Canis lupus familiaris: one gene and its partners. Each later gene encodes a partner of the first gene's protein in a complex. Links are inferred from orthologs where the notes say so. Each region holds a gene or a part of one and is shown on either strand. Other genes may lie near its edges. The genes, in order: ARL1, GOLGA4 and ARFIP2.

Evidence for each region.
Region 2: the proteins of ARL1 (region 1) and GOLGA4 are in contact, whole or in part, in a crystal structure (PDB 1UPT), measured with the Homo sapiens proteins. The link is inferred for Canis lupus familiaris from reciprocal best matches to the Homo sapiens genes ARL1 and GOLGA4. Residues at the interface, in NP_001168.1 of Homo sapiens: Ile49, Gly50, Phe51, Gln64, Trp66, Ser73, Ile74, Pro76, Tyr77, Cys80, Tyr81, Ser83, Glu115; in NP_002069.2 of Homo sapiens: Thr2173, Glu2174, Glu2176, Tyr2177, Lys2180, Val2181, Glu2184, Glu2190, Thr2193, Lys2196, Val2197, Thr2200, Val2201.
Region 3: the proteins of ARL1 (region 1) and ARFIP2 are in contact, whole or in part, in a crystal structure (PDB 4DCN), measured with the Homo sapiens proteins. The link is inferred for Canis lupus familiaris from reciprocal best matches to the Homo sapiens genes ARL1 and ARFIP2. Residues at the interface, in NP_001168.1 of Homo sapiens: Glu17, Arg19, Gln38, Ile46, Ile49, Gly50, Phe51, Asn52, Val53, Glu54, Thr55, Gln64, Trp66, Ile74, Tyr77, Cys80, Tyr81; in NP_001363487.1 of Homo sapiens: Phe205, Thr212, Lys216, Thr217, Asp220, Asp278, Ile281, Lys282, Phe285, Leu286, Glu288, Asn289, Lys292.

The regions. Positions count from the first base shown.
Region 1 is NC_049236.1:40,691,076-40,696,357, reverse strand, and holds the start of ARL1 (ADP-ribosylation factor-like protein 1), read left to right. Parts: upstream 1-1,939; 5' UTR 1,940-2,150; coding exon 2,151-2,154; intron 2,155-4,923; coding exon 4,924-5,061; intron 5,062-5,282. UniProt on the Homo sapiens protein: GTP-binding protein that recruits several effectors, such as golgins, arfaptins and Arf-GEFs to the trans-Golgi network, and modulates their functions at the Golgi complex.
Region 2 is NC_049244.1:7,426,640-7,431,362, forward strand, and holds part of GOLGA4 (golgin subfamily A member 4), read left to right. Parts: coding exon 1-3,834; intron 3,835-4,723. UniProt on the Homo sapiens protein: Involved in vesicular trafficking at the Golgi apparatus level. May play a role in delivery of transport vesicles containing GPI-linked proteins from the trans-Golgi network through its interaction with MACF1. Involved in endosome-to-Golgi trafficking.
Region 3 is NC_049242.1:30,302,782-30,308,246, reverse strand, and holds the start of ARFIP2 (arfaptin-2), read left to right. Parts: upstream 1-1,918; 5' UTR 1,919-2,069; intron 2,070-2,827; 5' UTR 2,828-2,869; coding exon 2,870-2,968; intron 2,969-3,224; coding exon 3,225-3,321; intron 3,322-4,084; coding exon 4,085-4,203; intron 4,204-4,386; coding exon 4,387-4,608; intron 4,609-5,137; coding exon 5,138-5,295; intron 5,296-5,436; coding exon 5,437-5,465. Other genes in the region: TIMM10B (mitochondrial import inner membrane translocase subunit Tim10 B), read right to left, coding at 1,143-1,319, 1,461-1,556, 1,732-1,776. UniProt on the Homo sapiens protein: Plays a role in constitutive metalloproteinase (MMP) secretion from the trans Golgi network. May have important functions during vesicle biogenesis at certain cargo subdomains, which could be predominantly utilized by secreted MMPs, such as MMP7 and MMP2.

The DNA of each region.
Region 1 (5,282 bases):
CCTAAGTTGTCCTAAAACTACATTAGAAAAAACTTAGAGGTAATTTCTTAATATTTGGGGATTTTTCTTTAGATCAAGTTTTCTGAGAATGGAGAAGAGCTTTTGATGCAACCAGGAAATGAGATCAAATATGAATAAAGCAAAGAGTTAAATGAGTAAATTTAAAAAATAAAGTTTTGGGGGCACCTGGATGGCTCAGTCATGAAGCGTCTGACTCAATTTTGGCTCAGGTCATAATTTCATGGTCCCTGAGATCCAGCCCAGCCCTCGGCAAGGAGTTGACCTGGAGGACTCTCTCCGTCTGCCCCACCCACCCACTCAAATAAATAAATAAATCTTTAAAGAAAAAGTTTTTGATCAAATTGCCAACAGGGTTTTTATTTGTTTTTTTTTTTATCACATTGTTTCCATAGGGACTTGTAATTAGGTGCTTAATACACATTATGAAAGGCTAAAATGCCATTTAATAGCATTAATAGTGCTTTTTAATCTGCATATAGCACTTCAGTTTACACCGCATCCTCGCACAGGTCTCATTTGCTTATTTCGCTCAGAACATTCAGTGCAAATATAAAATTTACAGCGTAAACTTTCCTTTTAGTTATCCCAAAGGGAATTTGTATTTTCAGAGAACTATGTGCATTATGCTGGCAACTTAAATCTGACATGGGCAAAATTTGAAGTGGCAACGGCCAAGATTTGCCAAGTGGCAGTAGCTAATTTTGGCGAAGATACGGACCTGGAGGCAGATGAAGAACAGGTGAAAAGGGTCCATGGAACCTGAGCCCACTTATGTCCAACACCTTGGGACGATGGAATACTTACAAAGCACAACCTTAAAAAGGTCCAGGTGTTTAAATACAGAGTCGCTCAACTGTCTCCTTCTAAACAACAACAACAAAGAACAAATAAAGCCAAACTTTTCCTTGCGAGTAAAGTTTCTGTGAATTTATGATTTAGAAGCGGGGAAGAGAGGCAAGGGCAATAGGCAAGTCTAGTTCAATGCCTAGGCAGCTGGAGAGGTTTAAAAATTGAAGTAAAAAAAAAAAAATAAAAACAAGTCAATGAACTTCTGTTGAATGGATGAAAAGCTCTGCTTTAAATAAAAACAAAATAGGTAAAAATTATATTTGTAAGGAGACCTAAGAAAGGGTTTACAATGGTGACTTCTACGGAGAACTGTGGGATCTGAGGCTAGGTATGGGTTTACTTTTCTGTGTACCTTTTCGAGTTTTTAAGATACGCACCCTCAACCTTTATAAAGATTAGGAGAATCCCTTCTTTCCATCGTCCAAGCGTCGCTTCCTTCCTCCCAAAACAGTTTCCTATCAAGAAAACTCTCAACAGACGCCCCTCGAGCGAGCGAACAGGTCCTCAGTCCCGTTGATCTGAATCAGGTCGTTCCTTACTGCCGACCCAGATACGAGGCCAGGTGCTCAGGTGGAAGACAGGGATGCAGGGCTCTCACGCGGACGCTACGACCCTACAGGCCACCGCGCCTCCAAAAACCTGCGGCAAGCCGAGGCGGCTCTAAGGCTGACTCGCATTGGCGGCGCGGGGCTGTTCCTACTATTATTACGCAGTCTCACTTCCGTGCGGGAGAAGGCACCCAGAGAAAGGTGCTTCGCCCCCGCAGGGCGCTGGACGACCTGCAGTTAACTCCTCGGACGCTGCACCCGGTGTCTGCGTCCCGTTGGGCGGCTGCATCGAGGCCCAACTCGAATTCTTGGGTGGCAGATTCGCCACTATCGGGTGTCACAATTTAAAAGGAAAATTCGAATTTCCCCATGTTGGAAGCCCTTTCAGTACAAGAAAACAGAAACACGAGAGATTTGGGGTCCTTGAATATTTTTATCTTCTGGCTTCCACCCAGCGCGCCGCGGACTGTCGTCGAAAGCGACGACGCGGACGCTCAGGTCGCCGTTGCTGGCGCGTAGCCGCCGCGGCCCGTCGCTCCCGCCCCCGCCGGGAGTCCGACGTGGAAGTTGCTGGCGGAGCGGACTTCCAAGGGATCCGCCTGGAGCCGGAGCCGGAGCCGGAGGCCGGAGGCCGGGGCGAGCAGGGGCGGCGGCGCCGAGGCTCGAATAGCAGTCGCTGCCGAGGCCGGGGCCCGTCTCTGACCACCGACGAGGGCGGACAGGCGGTTCATCATGGGTGAGGGTCCGAGAAGGGCTTCCGGGAGCGCTCGAAGGGCTGCGGCTGAGGGCTGGGATCGCGGTCGGGGGGCGCGGGGGCGGCGGCCTGGGAAGCCCAGAGCAGCGAGCTTTTCAGGGGCGGATCCTTGAGGACTGAACTTGCCGCGGCTCTTCACCTGTGGCGCTGGACGCTGCCTTGAGTGTTCGCCCCTGCCCTCGCTCTTGTCCCCTTCACCTCGGAGGGGTCAGGGGGTACGGGCTCTGCTGCGGCCTGGGAACCCAGCCCCGAGTCCTTTCCCCTGAGCAGGAACTTCTCCGTCACCTCCTCCGACCCCCCTCGACTTGGGGCAGGGGGCAGAGTTGGCCTTGCGAGGCTTGGCGTTTGCCAGTCGCAGGTGCGCCGAGGGATCTTGCGTGACAGAGGAGGTCTGACCCCGCAGTGGAAGCCTGGTTCTCTCTTCTTGGACCCTGGGATTGCAGCAGTTAAAAAAATCCAAAGGGAATTGTTGCTCATATTTTATAGACCACTTGGCATTTGCCTGTTTTCTCTGTAGCTTTTCATGTAGATAACATAGTTAAGGTGGAAAAAGGGAATGGGGACGGTACTGGTCATTATGGGTCAGTGAATGAGATTTTTTTTTTTTTTTTTGAGGATCTCACTTAATTTTATTAATTTATTTTTAATAATAAATTTATTTTTTCAATTTTTCAGTTTGCCAACATACAGAATAACACCCAGTGCTCATCCAATCAAGTGCCCACCTCCCAGTCACCCCCACCCCCTGCCCACCTCCCCTTCCACCACCCCTAGTTCTTTTCCCAGAGTTAGGAGTCTTCCATTTCTAATCTCAGTATTTGGAGTGCTGGCTGAGGGCACTCCCTTGTCATCACAAGTGCCAGCAGTACCTAGCTTCCCTCCCTGCTGCAGCCCGGACGAAGGTGCAGTGTTTTTAACTGGTTTACAACTAACTGGACACATGATGCAAATTCTTTGGCCTATTTTTAATTCCTTTACGATTTTCTGGGGGATTTACTTCCTGCCCTGGAATATCACAAGCACTTTACTTTTTTCATTTCTGTCTTCGGTATTTTGTTTTGTTTTGGTTTTCATCGAAGATTTTATTTTTAACTAATCTCTACACCCAAGATGGGGCTCGAATTCAATCAGCAGTTGCAACCTTTGCAGCTCCAGTCAGGCACCCCAAGTTCTTTTCTTTTTACGGTGTAAAAGGTAGAAAAGATTTTAAGTTATACACCTATTACACTTTCCCAAAGTTCTCTGGCCTGTGGTGTCTTCATTTCTCCAGACTTGGATTCCTTAATTGTGCCATTTCTTTGTCAGATAACCATGTATTGCATGTAGCATCATTTTTGTTGTCTGCTGTTTTTTTATATTGTTAATGTAACTTCCTTTTATTCTTCTCTAATGGCTTTTAGTGTGGAAGGGCCAAAGTGCTTTCTTCTGGCGATCATAAAGAAAAAATGTATTTTAAAAAAGCTTCTGGGGCGCCTGGGTGGCTCAGTTTGTTGAGCCTCTGACTCTTGATTTGGGCTCAGGCCATGATCTCGGGGGTCATGAGATTGAGCCTCACGTTGGCTCGTGCTGGGTGTGCAACCTGCTTGGGATTCTCTCTCTATCCCTCCCCCTTTGCCCCACACCACCCTTGGGCAAGCTCACTCTCTCTTACTCAAAAAAAAAAAAAAGCTGCTTTCTTTTGTTGTAAAAAGAATAATAAAGATTCTAAATCACTAACTCCCCTCTTAGGGAATTTTTATTTAAATACAACCCAAATGAGTCAACACATAAATCTGTTACCAAGAAGCCCTGCTGAAACAAAGGATAATTTTAATTTTTTTCCAGATTTCTTGAGGTATGAATGACAAAATTGCACGTATTTAAGGGGTACAATATGATGTTTTGATATACATTGTGGAAGGATTACCACAATCAAGCTAATTAATACATCTGCCACCTGAGCTTTTTTTGTATTTAGTGAGAACACTTTCAGACCTACTCTCTTAGAAAATTTCAAGAAAAAAAAAAAAAGGAAAATTTCAAATATACAGTATGTTGATTTTTTTTTTTTCTTTGTAGTTACCATGCTGTTCATTGGGTCTCCAGAACTTACTCATTTTATAAGGAAAGTCAGTTCCCTTGTTTGACATCTCTCTCCTTTTCCCCACTCCCCCAGCCTCTGAGAACCACCATTATATTCCACAATACCTTACGTATAGGAAACTTTTCTGGAAATATTTCATGATACATTGAGTGAAGCTTTATTATTTTTTTAAATGAGTTTTCTCTCAAAAATAGGTTTTGTTATTTTGGGCTTCTGTGTCTCAATTTCTTTTGCAAGTAGTATTACAGAGAAATCTCAGTGATTGAAGGTAGTTAGGATGTTGGTTGTACAGTGATAATAATTGCTTTTCACATGTGAGGACCTCATTGTTTCATTGTCCTTTCGATTTGTCGTATGGTGTTTGGGGGTTGTGAGATCACGCCAACGTATCCATATTCTCATGAGCTCATGAGGGCAGTGGTTCTGTTTCTCTTATTCTGGAATATATCTTCTGTGCCTTCCTGACACAGTATGCAGGACATGGTGACAATCAGTAATTATTTGTTTGATGTTGATTAATATATATCATTGAGAGCAAACTTATGTACCTAAGTTTTGAGGAAGATATTACAGCATTATTTAATTTGGTGTAGCTTTCAAAGGGCAAGATTAAATGTTTTGTGGGCTTAGTTTACAAAATGATGTTTTTCTTTTATTATTTTTTTCAGGTGGCTTTTTCTCAAGTATTTTTTCCAGTCTGTTTGGAACCCGGGAAATGAGGATTTTAATTTTGGGATTAGATGGAGCAGGAAAAACTACAATTTTGTACAGATTACAGGTTGGAGAAGTCGTTACTACTATTCCTAGTAAGTATTGGTATGATAAACTAATTGTAGGGTTTTTTTTTTTCCATCTAACATAACTTTATTTCTGATAAGTAGTTCATATAATGTAATTTTATTTTTATTTATTTATTTATTTTTATATAATGTAATTTTAATATAGTAGAGTTTGTAAACTTCCAGTGTGGGCATAATATTAATTACATTATTTTTCATAAATTTAGAGGCAATTTGGAAACCCTGTG
Region 2 (4,723 bases), on another chromosome or scaffold:
AGAAGAGGAGCTTTCTGTACTAAAGAATCAAGCAGATAAAGTAAAACAGGAGCTAGAGGCCAAGCTAGATGAACAGAAAAGCCATCACCAGCAGCAAGTTGACAGTATCATTAAAGAACAAGAGCTGTCCATCCAGAGAACTGAAGAGGCACTAAAAGATGAAATTAATCACCTTGGGCTTCTTCTGAAGGAAAAGGACAAGCATTTGAAAGAGCATCAGGTACGTGTGGAAAACTTAGAGGCAGATATTAGAAGGTCTGAAGAGGAACTCCAGCAGGCATCTGCTAAGTTGGCTCTCTTTGAGTCACAGCAGAGTACTACACATGAGCAGGCCAAAGCATCAGAGGAGCACTTGGCACAATTGCAGCAGAAGTTGTTGGACTTGGAAGCAGAAAGAATTCTTCTTACTAAACAGGTAGCTGAAGTTGAAATGCAAAAGAAAGATGTTTGTACTGAGTTAGACACTCAAAAAATCCAGTTGCAGGATTTAATGCAGCAACTTGAAAGACAGAAAAATGAAATGGAGGAAAAACTACAGTCTTTAACCCAATGTTATGAGTCCCAGCTTAAAGATACTAGCACAGAACAGGCACAGACAAAACAGAGTTTGATAGAAAAGGAAAATGTAATTTTACAAATGAGAGAAGGACAGAGCAAAGAAATTGAAACACTTAGACAAAAATTATCAGCCAAGGAGGACAGTTTTAGTGTTTTACATGAGGAATACGAAACCAAATTTAAAAATCAAGAAAAAAAGATGGAAAAAATTAAGCAGAAAGCAAAAGAGATGCAAGAAACGTTAAAGAAGAAATTACTGGATCAGGAAGCCAAACTTAAAAAAGAGCTTGAAAATACGGTTCTAGAGCTTAGTCAGAAAGAAAAACAGTTCAATGCCCAAATTTTGGAAATGGCACAAGCTAACTCTGCTGGAATCAGTGATGCAGTATCAAGACTGGAAACAAACCAAAAGGAGCAAATAGAAAGTCTCACTGAGGTACATAGACGAGAACTCAGTGATGTTGTATCAGTCTGGGAAAAGAAACTTAATCAGCAAGCTGAAGAACTTCAGGAAAAACATGAAATCCAATTACAGGAAAAAGAGCAAGAGGTAGCAGAACTAAAGCAAAAGATCTTCCAATCAGGGTGTGAAAAAGAAGAGATGAACAAGGAACTAGCCTGGCTGAAAGCAGAAGGCATTAAGCAGGACACAGTAGTAAAGGAATTACAGGAACAATTACACCAGAAGTCTGCTCATATGAATTCTCTCTCACAAAATGAAATGAAACTAAAAGCACAACTTGAAAAGCTGGAGGTTGACTTGAATCATTCTCTGAAGGAAAATACTTCTCTTCAGGAGCATATAGTTGAACTGGAAATGCTAGCAGAAAAAGACAAGCTGAAGGTTTCTGAGTTGACTGACAAGTTGAAAACCACAGATGAGGAATTCCAGAGTTTGAGATCTTCACATGAAAGAAGTGAGAAAAGCCTAGAAGACAAAAGCTTGGAATTCAAAAAACTATCTGAGGAATTAGTAGTTCAGCTGGATATTTACTCTAAGAAAACTGAAGCCTTGTTACAAGCTAAAACAAATGAGCTAATCAACACGAGTAGTAGTAAAATTAATGCCATTCTCTCTAGGATTTCCCACTGTCAGCACCACACAACAAAAGTTAAGGAAGCACTAGTGATTAAAACTTGCAAAGCTTCTGAATTAGAAGCACAGCTTAGACAGCTAACAGAAGAGCAGAATGCACTAAATAGTTCTTTTCGGCAGGCTACCCATCAATTAGAAGAAAAAGAAAATCAAATTAAGAGCATGAAGGCTGACATTGAAGGTCTGGTCATGGAAAAAGAAGCCTTACAGAAGGAAGGAGGCAACCAGCAACAGGCTGCCTCTGAAAAAGAGTCTTGTATCACACAGTTGAAGAAAGAGTTATCAGAGAACATCAACGTTGTCACACTGATGAAAGAAGAGCTTAAAGAAAAGAAATCTGAGATCAGCAGTCTTAGTAAGCAGCTAACTGATTTGAATACTCAGCTTCAGAACAGTATCAGCCTGACTGAGAAGGAAGCAGCCATCTCATCACTAAGTAAGCGATATGATGAACAACAACAGGAATTGCTGGGTCAGGTGCAAGATTTATCTTTGAAAGTTGAAACTCTGAATAAAGAGAAGACCTCTGCTCTTGAACAGGTAGATCACTTGTCCAACAAATTCTCAGAGTGGAAGAAGAAAGCACAGTCAAAATTTCTGCAGTATCAAAGTACTATTAAAGAATTGCAGATGCAGCTTGAGTTAAAAACAAAGGAAGCCAGTGAAAAGGATGAACAGATACAGGTATTGAAGGAGGACCTTGATCAGCAGAATGAGAGGTTGGTATGTTTAAAGGGTGAGATGGAAGATAAGAAGAGCAAGCTGGAGAAAAAAGAGTGTAACTTAGAGACTGAGTTAAAAACGCAAACAGCAAGAATTGCGGAATTAGAAGAGCATCTTACTCAGAAAACAACTGAAATTAAGTCTTTAAGTGAAGTTCTTAACAGTTACAATCAACAGAAGGATACAGAACAGAAGGAGATGCGTCAGAAACTTCAGCACATTCAAGAATTAGGAGACGAAAAGGACTGCAGGGTTAAAGAAGCCGAAGAAAAAGTCTCAAGACTTGAAAAGCAAGTGTCATCCATGAAATCTGAGCTTGAAACCAAGAAGAAAGAATTGGACCATGCGAATTCAAGTATGAAGGGCAAAGAAGAGGAGTTTAAGGCACTGGAAGATAGACTTGAGTTAGAAAGTGCTGCAAAATTAGCAGAACTGAAGAAAAAAGCTGAACAAAAAATTGTTGCCATCAAGAAGCAGTTGTTATCTCAAATGGAAGAGAAAGAACAGCAATATAAAAAAGACACAGAAGGTCACTTGGGTGAGCTAAATACAAAATTGCAGGAGAAAGAAAGAGAAATTCAGGTGTTGGAAGAAAAACTTAAATCAGTGGAAGGTCTACCACAGTCAGAAGCATCAGTTGTACCCACATCAGTAAAATACATGGTAGCCTGTGCTGAGCAAGGAATAGATCCCGAAAGCTCTGTGCAGAAAGCATATGAAGAAAATATCAGTACTTTACAAAGAAGTCTAATGGAAAAAGAAAAGCTGTTGCAGAGGCTAGAGCAGGAAAAAGAAGAGATGATATCTTCTCATTCTGAAATGCAGTGCAGATACCAGGAACTCTTAATAAAGATAGAGCACACCGAAGCTAAGCAGCATGAAGATCAAGTTATGATAAATTGTCTTCAAGAAGAACTTGAAGAAAAAGGCAAGAAATATTCCTTGGTAGCATCCCAGCATGTGGAAGAAGAAGGAGGTAAAAATACCATAGGAACAAAGCAAAACTTGGAAAATGTGGTTGATGATGTCCAGAAAACTCTCCACGAGAAGGAACTAACTTGTCAGATCTTGGAGCAAAAGATAAAGGAGCTAGATTCCTGCCTAGTAAGAGAAAGGGAAGGGCATAGAGTTGAAATGGAAGAGTTGACCTCAAAATTTGACAGATTACAGGCTTTACAACGACAGATGGATGAAAAAAATAAACCCATAGAAGCTTTGGAAGAAAGTGCTGAAGAAAAGTCCAAATCACATGTAGTCCAACCCATATTGCCTGGTAACATGGAGGTCCAGCACAATGACCTGGAATTTAAATTAGCAGGGGCAGAGCAGGAGAAGCAGAAGCTGGGCAAGGAGATTGTTAAGTTGCAGAAAGATCTTCGAATGTTGCGGAAGGAGCATCAGCAAGAATTGGATATCATGAAGAAAGAATATGAACAAGAAATGGAAGAGAAAATCAAGTAAGTTTTCCAGCATGAATATTTATTTATTGAGTGAGTGAGTGAGTGAGTGCAGGGAGAAGGGAGAGGCAGAGGAGAAGGAAAGAGTGAATTTTAAGCTGCACATCGAGTCCAGTGTGGAGCTCGATCTCATGACCCTGAGGTCATGATCTGAGCTGAAATCAAGAGTTGGACACTTGTGATGCCTGGGTTGCTCAGTTGGTTAAGCATCTGACTCTTGATTTTAGCTCAGGTCATGATTCAGGGTGGTGGGATCGAGCTCCATGTTGGGCCCTCTGCTCAGCACAGAGTCTGCTTTTCCCCCCACCTCTTCACCCCCGCTTATGCTCACTTTCTCGCTCTCAAATAAATAAAATCTTTATTTTTTAAAAAGATTTTATTTACTTATTCATGAGAGACACACACACACACACAGAGAGAGAGAGAGAGAGGCAGAGACACAGGCAGAGGGAGAACCAGGCTCCATGCAGGGAGCCCGACATGAGACTCGATCCCGGATCTCCAGGATCATGCCCCGAGCCAAAGGCAGGCGCCAAACCGCTGAGCCACCCAGGGATCCCCTAAATAAAATCTTTAAAAGCAAAGAGTCGGACACTTAACCAACTGAAGTCTCCCGGCATGAGTATTTTTAAGACAGTCCTTTTTAATTAAGTCTTTTTATTATGCCTAATGCACCTAAATTTCACCTACCCAAACTATGAAACATAAGTCAAGTACATTAAATGCTGAGAAGAAATAAAAACAATTTAAGGCAAGAGGCAGTGTTACTTCATGTCCATTTAGAGGGGGAAAAACCATTTTTTGCATATACAATTATTAGGTACGTATCCCAGTAATTACTTTGTTTTACTGTTTTTAGTATCAGCATTGTTATCATGTAAGATAGATG
Region 3 (5,465 bases), on another chromosome or scaffold:
ATGGTCCTCCAAGTTCCCCCTTTCTGACTGCTCCTGAAGACAAGCACACAGACCTTCTTTGTGTAAAAGCTTTACTGCTCATCCTGGGGAAGACAGAAAATAATAAGAAAATAACAACTTGGGAAAATGGCTGAAGTTCCAGAACACCCCGAAATCTTACAGGTTTCATTTCAGTTACGGGGCTACTGACTTTCCAGAAGGCACTGCATACAAAAACCCTGTGATTTCTTGATCTGTTATTCTTAGGTATCTCCTCCTTCCCCTAAATTTAGGAGAATTCTTTAGAGCCCATGAAAAGAGTTATAAATGAATGCACACCCAGCTCACAAATAAACCATTAAGTCAGATTTAAGTGAAGGACAACAAGAAGAGCTCTTATTTTCTCTGCCATCTGGGCAGGAACCAACTTCCTATTGCTATTACTAACATTAAAATCGTACCACAGGGGTGCCTGGGTGCAGTTGGTTAAGTGTCTGTCTTTGGCTCAAGTCATAATCCCAGGGCCCTGGGATCAAGCCCCGCATCTGGCTCCCTGCTAGGCCCGGAGTCTGCTTCTCTCTCTGCCCCTCCCCCTGCTCATTCTCTCTCTCTCTCTCACATAAATAAATAAACAAAATCTTTAAAAAAAAGAAAGAATTAAGTAAGATGCACCTGGGTGGCTCAGCCATTGAGCGTCTGCTTTTGGCTCAGGGTAGGATCCTGGGGTTCTGGGATCAAGTCCGGCATCGGGCTCCCCACAGGGAGCCTCTGCTTCTCCCTCTGCCTATGTCTCTGCCGCTCTCTGTGTGTCTCGTGAATAAATAAACTCTTTACAAAAGAAAAAATTGTACCCACAGGCCTTGTTTTAACCAGGTGCCAGGAAATGTTGAGGTTTTCCTTCTACACATAGAAGCCAATTTCTCCACTGCCAGGGCTGAAGCCAACAGATATGCGCTGACAGGATAAAGGATGGGGCCAATAAAGCGGGCAAAGCTTCCGTGCCCAGAACATAAATCAAACAGTGCAAAAGTGGGTTTATTGGCTCCAAGAAAAGGAGCAATACTACCCAGCTGTCAGACAACCCCTCACTCTATATATGGGCTGCATCCAGCCCAAGGTCCACTGGCTCCTTCAGTTTGAGGGTCCATCCAGCGCCTCCCTTCCTAGCTGCCTGATGGTGAGGTTCCGGGCTGTTCTGCAGCAACACCTGGCCCAGCTGAGGCAGCCTCGTAGTCTGCGATGCGGCGCTGTACCAGAGCCGGCATGAGCTGCACGTAAGCGGCCATGAGGCGGTGGTTGGAATGGATCAGCTTCCCAGCACAGCTGTGCAGACAGGCCTCCTGGAAGGAAGACAGGGTGAAGCATTGGTGTCCACTGGTGTCCGTCCCATCCCTGGCCCAGGGGCAAGGGTCATGGAAAGGCCCGGGCCAGAGGTAGGGGCGGTGGAGGTTGGGGACAGTCTACGGCGAACCCCACCTAACCTCTTCAGCGTCCAGAGCTCGGTGGTGCAAGCTGGGCACGCAGCGCTGGAAGCAGAGTTCCGTCATCCGATTGTAGACCAACAGGAAGTCCCGCAACTAGGAGAGAAGGGGACAAAGAGCCCAGCGATAAGGGGGCACCTCGAGGCCGCGCCCTCGAGGTTTCCCAGGACGGCGCGCCAGAGCGCGACGTTCCCAACCCTCCGCCCTCCAGCCAAACGGACGAAGATGCCAGCTGAACTGATGGCCCCGTCGCGACTTAGCACCCACTCACGTTCCTCAGCTGCTGCTGCTGCTGCTGCTGCTGCTGCGGCTCCATCGCGCCACCGGCGCACGCACGTCACTTCCGCACAGCCTCTTGGTAACGCCCCGGAAGTGACCTCTCCTGGCTCCCCGGGGACTGAGGGGTTGCCTCAAGGATCGCCCCGCCCCTGGCTTTAACGTCATCTCCGCCCTTATAGTCTGCGACGTGGCCGGCTTCTTCTGCCCGGGAGGGGACGTCACTTCCGCCGAGTCCCTGACCTGCTGCTAGGATCGCGACGGGAACTGGAGCCCGAGGTCCCCGCGCGGCCCGGGCCTGGCGCCCTGAGGGGAAGAGCGGCCCGGCCCGAGGTGAGAAGGACATACTTGGGCAAGGGGAAGTTGAATGCACGAGCCTGCCCCGAGGGAAAGATGCTACAGAGCCCTGGGGAAGGATGAGGACACACCTGATGCCCAGGTGTGGGGTGGGGGGGGGGCGGGGACTAACACACCTGGGGGACATAACTGACTTTGGAAGGGATCACTATGTGCTGGGAAAATGTGGCTTTTCCCAGAGGCCAAGAACGGACACCAACTGATTCAACTAGGGCCTGCAGGGGGAGGGCTGCAGGAGGAGGGGGTGCATGGGATGGAGGAGGGAGAGACCACCTGAAGGAAAGGGGAAGCAACCCTAAGGGAGTGTGAGAGGCCAAGCAATGGAGAACATACCAGAGCGGGAGGAGTAGGCTCCTGAGCCCTGGAAAGGGGTTAATCTGATGGGAGGAAACAGCTGCATGGGGGTAAGTTCCAAAACAGCACAGACTTTCTCTCCCTTGGCCACTGCTGTGACCTCAAATAGTAGTCTGTTGAATGGTTGAACGCATGAGTGATCACCTGAGTCCTGGTGGGGTTGGGGGTCCGTGAGAAGATACTGGGGACCTGGGTGTGCATGTGGAAAGATACACACCCTGGAGGGGAGAAATACATATCTACGAGAAGAAAGGAGTGGTGGCCGAACCCCAGGATACTCAAGTCTTGGGACAACCTCTAAAATCTCTGAAATGGTGGGGGAGACTTTTCTTTCGGGAGTACTGGCTAGTTTCCAGAACTGTCTGTGTTGGGCTTTGCAGGGCGCTGGGGTGGAGACTTTGACTCCAATCCCTTCCCTAGCCATGACGGACGGGATCCTAGGGAAGGCAGCCACAATGGAGATCCCCATCCACGGGAACGGTGAAGCCGGGCAGCTTCCTGAGGATGATGGGCTGGAGCAGGTGCTTCTGTTTGATTCTTCTCCATATTGTTTCAATTTAGGAGTCCAAAATCATAAGCCCTGGGCTCTCACCCCATTCCAGGAGTTTTCCCCTAACTTATCTAACTCCCTCCAATCTTTACATATCTTCATTCTGATTCTATGCAGACTTCCCTTGTGTGCTCTCTCTGTGATGCTTCAATCCAAGCTTGTTCTCACCCCCCAAATGCTTCAGCTGCCCCAATGTTCCTGAAGCCCCCCTCTTCTCTGGCCTATAGGACCTCCAGCAGGTGATGGTGTCAGGACCCAACCTCAATGAAACCAGCATTGTGTCTGGTGGCTATGGGGGCTCTGGTGATGGACTCATCCCCACAGGTATGAATGATCAGAACAGGACAGGAAGCTTGAATGGACAGAGGGAGTGGAATGGTTCTGGGGAGTATAGGATATGCCTAAGATAGCTTGAACTATGTCTGGAGATTTTGGGAACTCTTGCTAGTACAAGCCCAATGGACTCTACTCAGCCCAAGGCTAGAGCCTAGGGCTGTCCAACTGCTCCCGCTTGCCATTTAGCCCTGAGATGTGTCCATTTGTCCTTTCTTTGCTGCCACCACCTGAATCACATTACGAACTGTTTTGCAGAAGTTCTCCTGCTTTGGAGCTTGAGACTTATTTGGAACTCTGAAGCTTCTCAAAGTTTTGCTTCAGATTCTCAAGTTTAGAGAAGCAAATAGCCCTGAATTTCACACTGACTAGGATTCCACATGAGAACGTCAATGAGATTTCCTATTGTCAGGAACCCACCATCCTTGACCTGCCACCCAATACTCAGCATATTTTCTTCTGTTTTCTCTGCCCCTGTACATCAGCAACTCCCTCCCTCCCCCCACTCCAGCCCCCATCACCATCTCAGGAGGAGGCCAGATATATATTGGGATTTGGGTTTCAGGGCACAAGGTATGAGTTCTTCCTAGTGAGTAGGAGAATTTCTAGTTTCTGCTACTTCAGAGAAGTCATTTTCATGGTGGGAAGTCGGTGGAAAGTCATTTCATAGTGGGGTCGGTGGGAAGTATGGGTGGAGCCACAGAGATGTCTGGTTATATCAGAGAGGCTGGTGTCAAAGAACTTGGTTCTTTAGGGTCTGGCCGCCATCCATCTCACAGTACCACTCCTGCTGGCCCGGGAGATGAGGTGGCTCGGGGCATCGCTGGAGAAAAGTTTGACATCGTCAAGAAATGGGGCATCAACACATATAAGGTGGGATTTAAGCACCTTTCCCTTTCCCCTTCCCCAGACTTCCCCTGGGTACCTTTTCCCCATCTTCCAGATTCCACTCTCCCATCCTTGTCTGAGACGAGGAGCCTTGGGATGCTAGGGTAGATACCTGTTGGGGGGGCAGGGTGCTAGGGTCTCTGACCTATTCCCCCACTTCCCAATCAGTGCACAAAGCAGCTGTTATCAGAGCGATTTGGCCGAGGCTCCCGGACTGTGGACCTGGAGCTAGAGCTGCAGATTGAGTTGCTGCGTGAGACGAAGCGCAAGTATGAGAGTGTCCTGCAGCTGGGCCGGGCACTGACAGCCCACCTCTACAGCCTGCTGCAGACCCAGCATGCACTAGGTGACGCCTTTGCTGACCTCAGCCAGAAGTCCCCAGAGCTTCAGGTGCCTTGGTCAGGCCAAAGAGGGTGGGGGGACTGGGCCCGGGCCCTCCCAGGCAGTCAGCCCTCAGCCTCCCTCCCTCCCTCCTGCAGCCCAGAGGGAGAACCCCTCCAGGGTAGGCCCAGCCCTACCCCCAGCAGCACTCACCTGTGGAGGCAGCCTAAGGGTTTGTACAGAGGTTCAGAAGTTGGAGGGGTGGGGGAGGCGGCACACTAGATGCCTCACAAGTAACCCTTCTCTGCATCGGTGCTCGGCCTAATCAGAGCCCCCCTCCCCGCCCCTTGCCTGCTGCACTAGCTTTCCCTGTTCTCGTCCTGTGAACTTATCTGAGAACCCACTCCCATACTCCTACCCCAGCCATCCCCGGGGTGGCCCCAATAACTTTCTGGCTAAGAGAGCCTTGCTGGAGCAGTCCTTGGTTGTTCCAGTTTTGATGGCTCTTTCCTTCTGGGGGAGGAGGGGAATGAGGGCCCTATAGCTTTAGTTAGGTAGGAATTGTTGCTCAAGGCCTATCCTCCCCTTCTGCCCTCAGGAGGAATTTGGCTACAATGCAGAGACACAGAAGCTGCTGTGCAAGAATGGAGAGACACTGCTAGGGGCTGTGAACTTCTTTGTCTCTAGCATCAACACTTTGGTCACCAAGACCATGGAAGACACTCTCATGACTGTCAAACAGTATGAGGCTGCCAGGTGTGGGCACCAGCAGGGCCCAGGGTTTTGGGAGTTGGCTGGCATGGGTGGAAGTTTGAGGTCATAAAAATTGTGGAAGGAAAGGAGAGTATGTGTGGAGGACACAGGGGTGGAGACCAGCCTGTATCACCCCTTCCCCAGGCTGGAATATGATGCCTATCGAACAGACT